Saccharomyces cerevisiae S288C: one gene and its partner. Changing the gene in region 1 together with any one later gene gives a genetic interaction. Each region holds a gene or a part of one and is shown on either strand. Other genes may lie near its edges.

Region 1 (5,849 bases):
TAGATGAGGCTAAATTTAGACAAATTTTAATGGAACTAGAAGTTTTGCATAAATGCAATTCTCCCTATATTGTGGATTTTTATGGTGCATTCTTTATTGAGGGCGCCGTCTACATGTGTATGGAATACATGGATGGTGGTTCCTTGGATAAAATATACGACGAATCATCTGAAATCGGCGGCATTGATGAACCTCAGCTAGCGTTTATTGCCAATGCTGTCATTCATGGACTAAAAGAACTCAAAGAGCAGCATAATATCATACACAGAGATGTCAAACCAACAAATATTTTATGTTCAGCCAACCAAGGCACCGTAAAGCTGTGCGATTTCGGTGTTTCTGGTAATTTGGTGGCATCTTTAGCGAAGACTAATATTGGTTGTCAGTCATACATGGCACCTGAACGAATCAAATCGTTGAATCCAGATAGAGCCACCTATACCGTACAGTCAGACATCTGGTCTTTAGGTTTAAGCATTCTGGAAATGGCACTAGGTAGATATCCGTATCCACCAGAAACATACGACAACATTTTCTCTCAATTGAGCGCTATTGTTGATGGGCCGCCACCGAGATTACCTTCAGATAAATTCAGTTCTGACGCACAAGATTTTGTTTCTTTATGTCTACAAAAGATTCCGGAAAGAAGACCTACATACGCAGCTTTAACAGAGCATCCTTGGTTAGTAAAATACAGAAACCAGGATGTCCACATGAGTGAGTATATCACTGAACGATTAGAAAGGCGCAACAAAATCTTACGGGAACGTGGTGAGAATGGTTTATCTAAAAATGTACCGGCATTACATATGGGTGGTTTATAGCGTTAATATCCAAATAAAAGCAAACAGGCACGTGAATATAACAACAAAAAAAAAGCAGACGAAAAGCTACTGTGGAAATGATGCGGCGAATACAAAAAAACCTTACATATACATATGTTTATTGTAATAAACTTGCATTATACTCGTTATAGACATATATATATATATATATTCATATATATATATCGTCTGACTTCCTTTTGTCGAACCTAAAAAAGGGCACGAATTATGACAGAGTATTGAGGGGATGTTATTTCAAGCACCGGCAAGTGAAGCGATGTGGACGTCAATATATTGTGTTATTCGATTATTGCTACGGCCATCGACTCCTCGAAATTATTTACGTTCGGGGCTGACAACGCAAGAAAGAAAAAATGCTCTGGAATTGTCTGATGGTTTTTCCGCTCTTTACGGCTCAAGGCTAGGAAAGAAAAAAAAGTCCAAAATCATCGAGAAAATAAAAGGTGTTTTGAAAGTTCAAATCCACGTTATTGAGAGTAGATGTGGAGTCTGGACCAGGAACTATACCTGTATCTTACCCTAACTTCTAAATTTTGCTACTTTCACGGAAAACAGTAAATAATTACCTATCAAGATAAAGAGCTCTTACATTATTAGAAACTTTTTGTTACTGTTGCTTTCCTTTCGCCCATTGTTTTTACCTTACCATTAGCATCACTGATTCCACACTTGTATTGCCTTAAAAAGAAGGAGGGTATTCTATTGGCTCTCAAGGAAGTCATTCCTATCCATTTTACTTAAAGTTATTACCTTTTTTTGATAACTAACAATGCATTTTAGAAGAACGATGAGTAGAGTGCCCACATTGGCATCTCTTGAAATACGATATAAAAAATCTTTCGGCCATAAATTTCGTGATTTTATTGCTCTATGTGGTCACTATTTTGCTCCAGTTAAAAAATATATCTTCCCCAGTTTTATCGCGGTTCACTACTTCTACACGATATCCCTGACATTAATAACTTCAATCCTGCTATATCCCATTAAGAATACCAGATACATTGATACATTGTTTTTAGCAGCGGGCGCAGTTACACAAGGTGGCTTAAATACTGTGGATATCAACAATCTAAGCTTATACCAACAAATTGTTCTGTATATCGTATGCTGCATATCAACACCAATTGCAGTTCATAGTTGCTTGGCATTTGTACGGCTTTACTGGTTTGAGCGCTACTTCGATGGTATTAGAGACTCTTCTAGACGAAATTTTAAGATGAGAAGAACGAAAACAATCTTAGAAAGGGAACTAACAGCAAGAACCATGACCAAGAATAGAACAGGTACCCAAAGAACGTCTTATCCTAGGAAACAAGCTAAAACAGATGATTTCCAAGAAAAATTGTTCAGCGGAGAAATGGTTAATAGAGATGAGCAGGACTCAGTTCACAGCGACCAGAATTCTCATGACATTAGTAGGGACAGCAGCAATAATAATACGAATCACAATGGTAGCAGTGGCAGTTTAGATGATTTCGTTAAGGAAGACGAAACGGATGACAATGGAGAATATCAGGAGAACAACTCCTACTCGACGGTAGGTAGTTCGTCTAACACAGTTGCAGACGAAAGTTTAAATCAGAAGCCCAAGCCAAGCAGTCTTCGGTTTGATGAGCCACACAGCAAACAAAGACCCGCAAGAGTTCCCTCAGAGAAATTTGCAAAAAGAAGGGGTTCAAGAGATATTAGCCCAGCCGATATGTATCGATCCATTATGATGCTACAAGGTAAGCATGAAGCAACTGCTGAAGATGAAGGTCCCCCTTTAGTCATCGGGTCCCCTGCGGATGGCACAAGATATAAAAGTAATGTCAATAAGCTAAAGAAGGCCACCGGCATAAATGGTAACAAAATCAAGATTCGAGATAAGGGAAATGAAAGTAACACTGATCAAAATTCCGTGTCAAGTGAAGCAAACAGTACGGCGAGCGTTTCGGACGAAAGCTCGTTACACACAAATTTTGGTAACAAAGTACCTTCATTAAGAACAAATACTCATAGATCAAATTCGGGCCCGATAGCCATTACTGATAACGCAGAAACAGACAAAAAGCATGGGCCATCAATTCAATTCGATATAACTAAACCTCCTAGAAAAATTTCAAAAAGAGTTTCAACCTTCGATGATTTGAACCCAAAATCTTCCGTTCTTTATCGAAAAAAAGCATCGAAGAAGTACCTCATGAAACATTTTCCTAAAGCGCGGCGAATACGGCAACAAATTAAGAGAAGGCTTTCTACTGGTTCAATTGAGAAAAACAGCAGTAACAATGTTTCAGATAGAAAACCTATTACTGATATGGATGATGATGATGATGACGATGACAACGACGGCGATAACAACGAAGAATACTTTGCTGACAACGAAAGCGGCGATGAAGATGAACGAGTACAGCAGTCTGAACCACATTCTGATTCAGAACTCAAATCGCACCAACAACAGCAAGAAAAACACCAACTGCAGCAGAACCTGCACCGCATGTATAAAACCAAATCATTTGATGATAATCGTTCAAGAGCAGTTCCTATGGAACGTTCCAGGACCATCGATATGGCAGAGGCTAAGGATCTAAATGAGCTCGCAAGGACGCCTGATTTTCAAAAAATGGTCTATCAAAATTGGAAAGCCCATCATAGAAAAAAACCGAACTTTAGGAAGAGGGGATGGAATAACAAGATATTTGAACATGGTCCCTATGCATCTGACAGCGATCGCAATTATCCTGATAATAGTAATACTGGAAACAGTATTCTTCATTACGCAGAGTCTATTTTACATCATGATGGCTCTCATAAAAATGGAAGCGAAGAAGCCTCTTCCGACTCTAATGAGAATATCTATTCCACGAATGGAGGAAGCGACCACAATGGTCTTAACAACTATCCTACTTACAACGACGATGAAGAAGGCTATTATGGTTTACATTTCGATACCGATTATGACCTAGATCCTCGTCATGATTTATCTAAAGGCAGTGGTAAAACGTATCTATCATGGCAACCAACTATTGGACGTAACTCAAACTTCCTTGGATTAACAAGAGCCCAGAAAGATGAATTAGGTGGTGTCGAGTACAGAGCAATCAAACTTTTATGCACCATATTGGTTGTCTACTACGTTGGATGGCATATTGTTGCTTTTGTTATGTTAGTACCTTGGATTATTTTGAAAAAGCATTATAGTGAAGTTGTTAGAGATGATGGTGTTTCACCTACATGGTGGGGATTTTGGACAGCAATGAGTGCATTTAATGATTTAGGTTTGACATTAACTCCAAATTCAATGATGTCGTTTAACAAAGCTGTATACCCATTGATCGTTATGATTTGGTTTATCATTATCGGAAATACAGGGTTTCCCATCCTTCTTAGATGCATCATTTGGATAATGTTTAAAATTTCTCCTGATTTATCACAGATGAGAGAAAGTTTAGGTTTTCTCTTAGACCATCCACGTCGTTGTTTCACCTTGCTATTTCCTAAGGCAGCTACATGGTGGCTACTTTTAACGCTTGCAGGATTGAATATAACTGATTGGATTTTATTTATTATTCTAGATTTTGGCTCAACAGTTGTGAAATCATTATCGAAAGGCTATAGAGTCCTTGTCGGCCTGTTTCAATCTGTTAGCACAAGAACTGCTGGATTCAGCGTTGTCGATTTAAGTCAACTGCATCCTTCTATCCAAGTCTCCTATATGCTAATGATGTATGTCTCCGTATTACCATTGGCCATCTCTATTCGACGGACAAATGTTTACGAGGAGCAATCTTTAGGACTATATGGAGATATGGGGGGAGAACCAGAAGATACGGATACTGAAGACGATGGTAACGATGAAGATGACGACGAGGAAAACGAGAGTCACGAAGGTCAAAGTAGTCAAAGAAGTAGTTCGAACAACAACAACAATAACAACAGGAAAAAGAAAAAGAAAAAGAAAACTGAAAATCCAAATGAAATATCTACAAAATCCTTTATCGGTGCCCATTTAAGGAAACAGCTTTCATTTGACTTGTGGTTTCTATTTTTAGGGTTATTTATCATTTGCATTTGTGAAGGGGACAAGATAAAGGACGTACAAGAACCAAACTTTAATATATTTGCAATTCTTTTTGAAATTGTTAGCGCTTACGGTACAGTTGGGCTATCGCTAGGTTATCCGGACACCAACCAATCGTTTTCAAGACAGTTTACTACATTATCTAAGTTGGTGATCATAGCTATGCTGATCAGAGGCAAGAATAGAGGTCTACCATACTCACTGGATCGTGCAATTATCTTGCCTAGTGATAGACTTGAACATATTGACCACCTTGAGGGCATGAAATTGAAGAGACAGGCTAGAACCAATACAGAAGACCCAATGACGGAACATTTCAAGAGAAGTTTCACTGATGTGAAACATCGTTGGGGAGCTCTTAAGCGTAAGACCACACATTCCCGAAATCCTAAAAGGAGCAGCACAACGCTCTAACATATATACTCATTCTTTAGAAATAGGTTTTCGTACTCAATATTTAAGAAGGTAATTAAGCATTAAAAGGATTTTTTTTTTTTAACCTTGATTAGTAACATTGTGATATACATTTGCCTACGTACATTTCTGATGTCCTAAGATTTCTTTCTTTTTTTCGGTCCCTTAAAGACAACCGAATCTCTCTACGATAATGTACGACATACAATGTCCAAAATGGTGCTTTCGTCATCGTCAACGCCATTAGTACATTGTCCCTCTTTTCGTGAAAAATGAAAAATCTTGGTTATTTGCAGTGTACATGGAATATGGACTTTTTTTTTTTCTCTGTGGCCCGCCGGTGTTCTCCGATGAATATTAAAAGAAATGTCACACAAACGCAATGACTCTTTTTTCCCTGGCCTTGAAAAAAAAAAAAACGGTAAAAAAGTAGGACAAATGGTATGGACAAAAAGTATAAATACTTTGACAAAATCCCCACTCATCGATTTTACTCAGAGAGAGAATCCTCTCTTTCCTTCTCTATT
Region 2 (3,563 bases), on another chromosome or scaffold:
AGATGAAAAACTGGCCTCGCTAGTTAAGCTCAGAAGAGAAATTGCTGATGAGAAAGAGAAAGCATCAAACAATGATGCTACTTTTGGTATAAAAAAGAATGATTTGAAAAAATCTAATTAATTGTAAAACCAAAACACTACCATCCAGACTTTTTTTTTATTCAACCATAGCCTTTAACTACTACTACTACTACTAGTACTACTACTATTACTATTACTATTACTACTACTAGAGGGCCTTTTTTTACTCCTAGTATTTTTGTACTATCCTATTTACTCTCGTTGTTTTTATTAGTTTTTTCACTCTTTTTTTCAATTCCTCACGAATCTACTGTTTTCGTAGTGCTTTTTTTTGTTTCATTGTTTATAGCCATCAATGGTTTTTGTTACTATCATTATCATTATAAATATTTCATACAATATATACAATATATATACAATAAATGAGAATCGATTTACTTTTAATGCATTTTTGCAGTCAAAAAAAGCTTCGTTTACATTTATATGTATTTATGTTTGTATTTCTGGGGGAAATATGCCTTTATGGGCGTATATACTCTTTCGTACGTTTCTACATCCGAGTAGCAGTAGTAACTCGGTATTGTGCTTTCGTCGCCATAATCAGGACTATCATAATCGAATTTTTTTTGCGTTTTGTTGTCACCACATATGGTCCCTTCTTCCTCATCATCTATCAATATTCCCAATTCGTAGACAGTTCTACTTAAATTCTCGTCAATGACTTTAGACACATACTTTCGTAGTTTCAATTCATACCCCTTAACCTTCCTTTTACTAGACAAAAATCTCGGACGTATAAAAATGATGAATATTATTATGCTTAGAATTAATTTGCTTATTAAAATTACCCATATGATAAACGAGAACAACATGAAGGACAAGATCACACTTTCTTCGTAATTTGTCTTAGCAATATGTTTTATCTTGTTTATTATTCCATTTAGGTCATCTAAATTACCTAGGCTTTGAGTACTATGGGTTCCGCTACTGGTCTCATTCGAAACTGTCAGTAAAACTGACCACAAAGTTAATCCGTTGATTATTTGCCTTGGAGAGTCACCGAACAATAGCCTCAAACATCCACTGATTTCAAAATATGAAAAGAATAACCACTTACTGAATTTTTTCTCATCAGTCAGCACTATTAGTTCGAAAATTTGATACTTTTTGAAATTGAACAAGCAATTTATTAATCTGCTAATGCCATTCATGTAGTTCGATGTAATCTCTTTCTTCCTATACACTCTCAATCCAATTACCAACTCCCAAATTAATATTAATGAGGAGCATAATATGCATCCGCTAAACAACCATTTTGAAATACGGAATTCCAAGAATGGTTGGATGATATTGTTCGACCATGTGTTAAATGCCAGTAATTTAATACACGTGTATATATCAGAAAAAAACATGGCCACATGTAGTATCGACTGACACCAGGTGTATAGAATATACTGTAATTTTGTGGTCCACTTCGCAGTAGGAATAAGATTTATGTCAATATCCTGGAATTTCAATTTTTGTAAACTTGATTCCATTATTTAGCGCTTTGTTGTCATTTTCCTTTCCCTCTTAGACAATGTGGTAAAAAATGCCAGCTCCAGGGCTTTCAATTAATCCATTATTGATTTTTAATCTGGAGGTTTGAGCATGGCTGAATAATTTATATACAAATATCTTTTTTTATTGTTTCAGATCATTCGTTTTCAGTATGATTTACTATCATTCATTTTCTTTTTCTTTACCATTTTACGTCGCCGTCGCACATCTTAAAACAAATTTAATACAGAGTTGAAAGTTTCAGACTTAAACAGAATTTACGCAAGAAAGTTTTCAAAGTCCTAAAGTAAAAACGCGCCTTCCACAGCCATTTCTTTGTTCAACAAAAAGTTTTGGCCCTTACTGCTATTGGATACTTGGCAATCCGTCTTTCGTTATGCCAGATGAAACAAATTTTACAATAGAAGATATTGAGCCTAGGCCTGATGCCCTTCGAGGTTTGGACACCCAGTTCCTTCAAGACAACACAGCATTAGTACAAGCATATCGTGGTTTAGACTGGTCAGATATTTCTTCGTTGACCCAAATGGTAGATGTTATAGAGCAAACAGTGGTTAAATATGGCAATCCAAATGATTCAATCAAATTGGCCTTGGAAACTATTTTATGGCAAATATTGCGTAAGTACCCTTTATTGTTTGGATTTTGGAAGAGGTTTGCTACTATTGAGTACCAGTTATTTGGTCTCAAGAAATCGATTGCTGTTCTGGCCACCTCGGTCAAATGGTTCCCAACTTCTCTGGAGTTATGGTGTGATTATTTGAATGTGTTGTGTGTTAATAACCCGAACGAAACGGATTTTATTAGGAATAATTTTGAAATTGCAAAGGATCTTATTGGCAAGCAGTTTCTATCACACCCTTTTTGGGACAAGTTTATAGAATTTGAAGTTGGGCAGAAGAATTGGCATAACGTTCAAAGAATATACGAGTACATTATTGAAGTTCCTCTACATCAGTATGCGCGGTTTTTCACATCTTACAAGAAGTTTTTAAATGAAAAAAATTTGAAGACAACAAGGAATATTGATATAGTTTTACGAAAAACACAAACAACAGTAAATGAAATTTGGCAGTTCGAATCGAAAATCAAACAGCCCTTCTTCAACCTGGGCCAAGTGTTAAATGATGATTTGGAAAATTGGTCGCGATATTTAAAATTTGTGACGGATCCTTCAAAATCCTTGGATAAAGAATTCGTAATGTCCGTTTTTGACAGATGTTTGATTCCTTGTCTTTACCATGAAAATACGTGGATGATGTATATTAAGTGGCTAACAAAGAAAAATATATCCGATGAAGTGGTAGTGGATATATACCAAAAAGCCAATACGTTCTTACCACTGGATTTCAAAACTTTGAGGTATGATTTTCTTAGGTTTTTGAAAAGAAAATATCGGTCAAATAATACCTTATTCAATAACATATTCAATGAGACAGTATCGCGTTATTTAAAGATTTGGCCCAACGACATATTACTTATGACGGAGTACCTTTGTATGTTGAAAAGACATTCTTTTAAGAATTCCTTAGATCAATCGCCAAAGGAAATTCTAGAGAAACAAACATCGTTTACTAAAATCCTAGAGACATCAATCACCAACTACATCAATAATCAAATTGATGCCAAGGTGCATTTACAGACCTTAATAAATGATAAAAACTTAAGCATAGTCGTGGTAGAATTGATAAAAACTACATGGCTTGTACTTAAAAATAATATGCAAACAAGGAAATATTTCAACCTTTATCAAAAAAACATCCTCATTAAAAATTCTGTACCGTTCTGGTTAACTTACTACAAATTTGAAAAGAGTAATGTAAATTTTACCAAGCTGAATAAATTCATTAGGGAGCTTGGGGTAGAAATATACTTGCCGACTACAGTAATGAATGATATTTTGACGGATTATAAGACTTTCTATTTAACTCATTCAAATATCGTCACGTATGAATCCTCCATTATAGATTCAAATACATTTG

The links.
Region 2: of TRK1 (region 1) and PRM6, extra expression of one rescues a mutant of the other (dosage rescue), as found in Saccharomyces cerevisiae (2 studies listed by BioGRID, with this or other methods).

The regions. Positions count from the first base shown.
Region 1 is NC_001142.9:173,072-178,920, reverse strand, and holds TRK1 (Trk1p), read left to right. Parts: upstream 1-1,614; coding exon 1,615-5,322; downstream 5,323-5,849. Other genes in the region: mitogen-activated protein kinase kinase PBS2, read left to right, coding at 1-824. UniProt on the Saccharomyces cerevisiae protein: This protein is required for high-affinity potassium transport.
Region 2 is NC_001145.3:179,517-183,079, forward strand, and holds PRM6 (pheromone-regulated K(+) transporter PRM6), read right to left. Parts: upstream 1,560-3,563; coding exon 501-1,559; downstream 1-500. Other genes in the region: GSF2 (Gsf2p), read left to right, coding at 1-121; PRP39 (Prp39p), read left to right, coding at 1,958-3,563. UniProt on the Saccharomyces cerevisiae protein: Low affinity potassium transporter that, with KCH1, participates in high-affinity Ca(2+) influx system (HACS) activation during the response to mating pheromone. Directly promotes K(+) influx and HACS may electrochemically respond to this K(+) influx.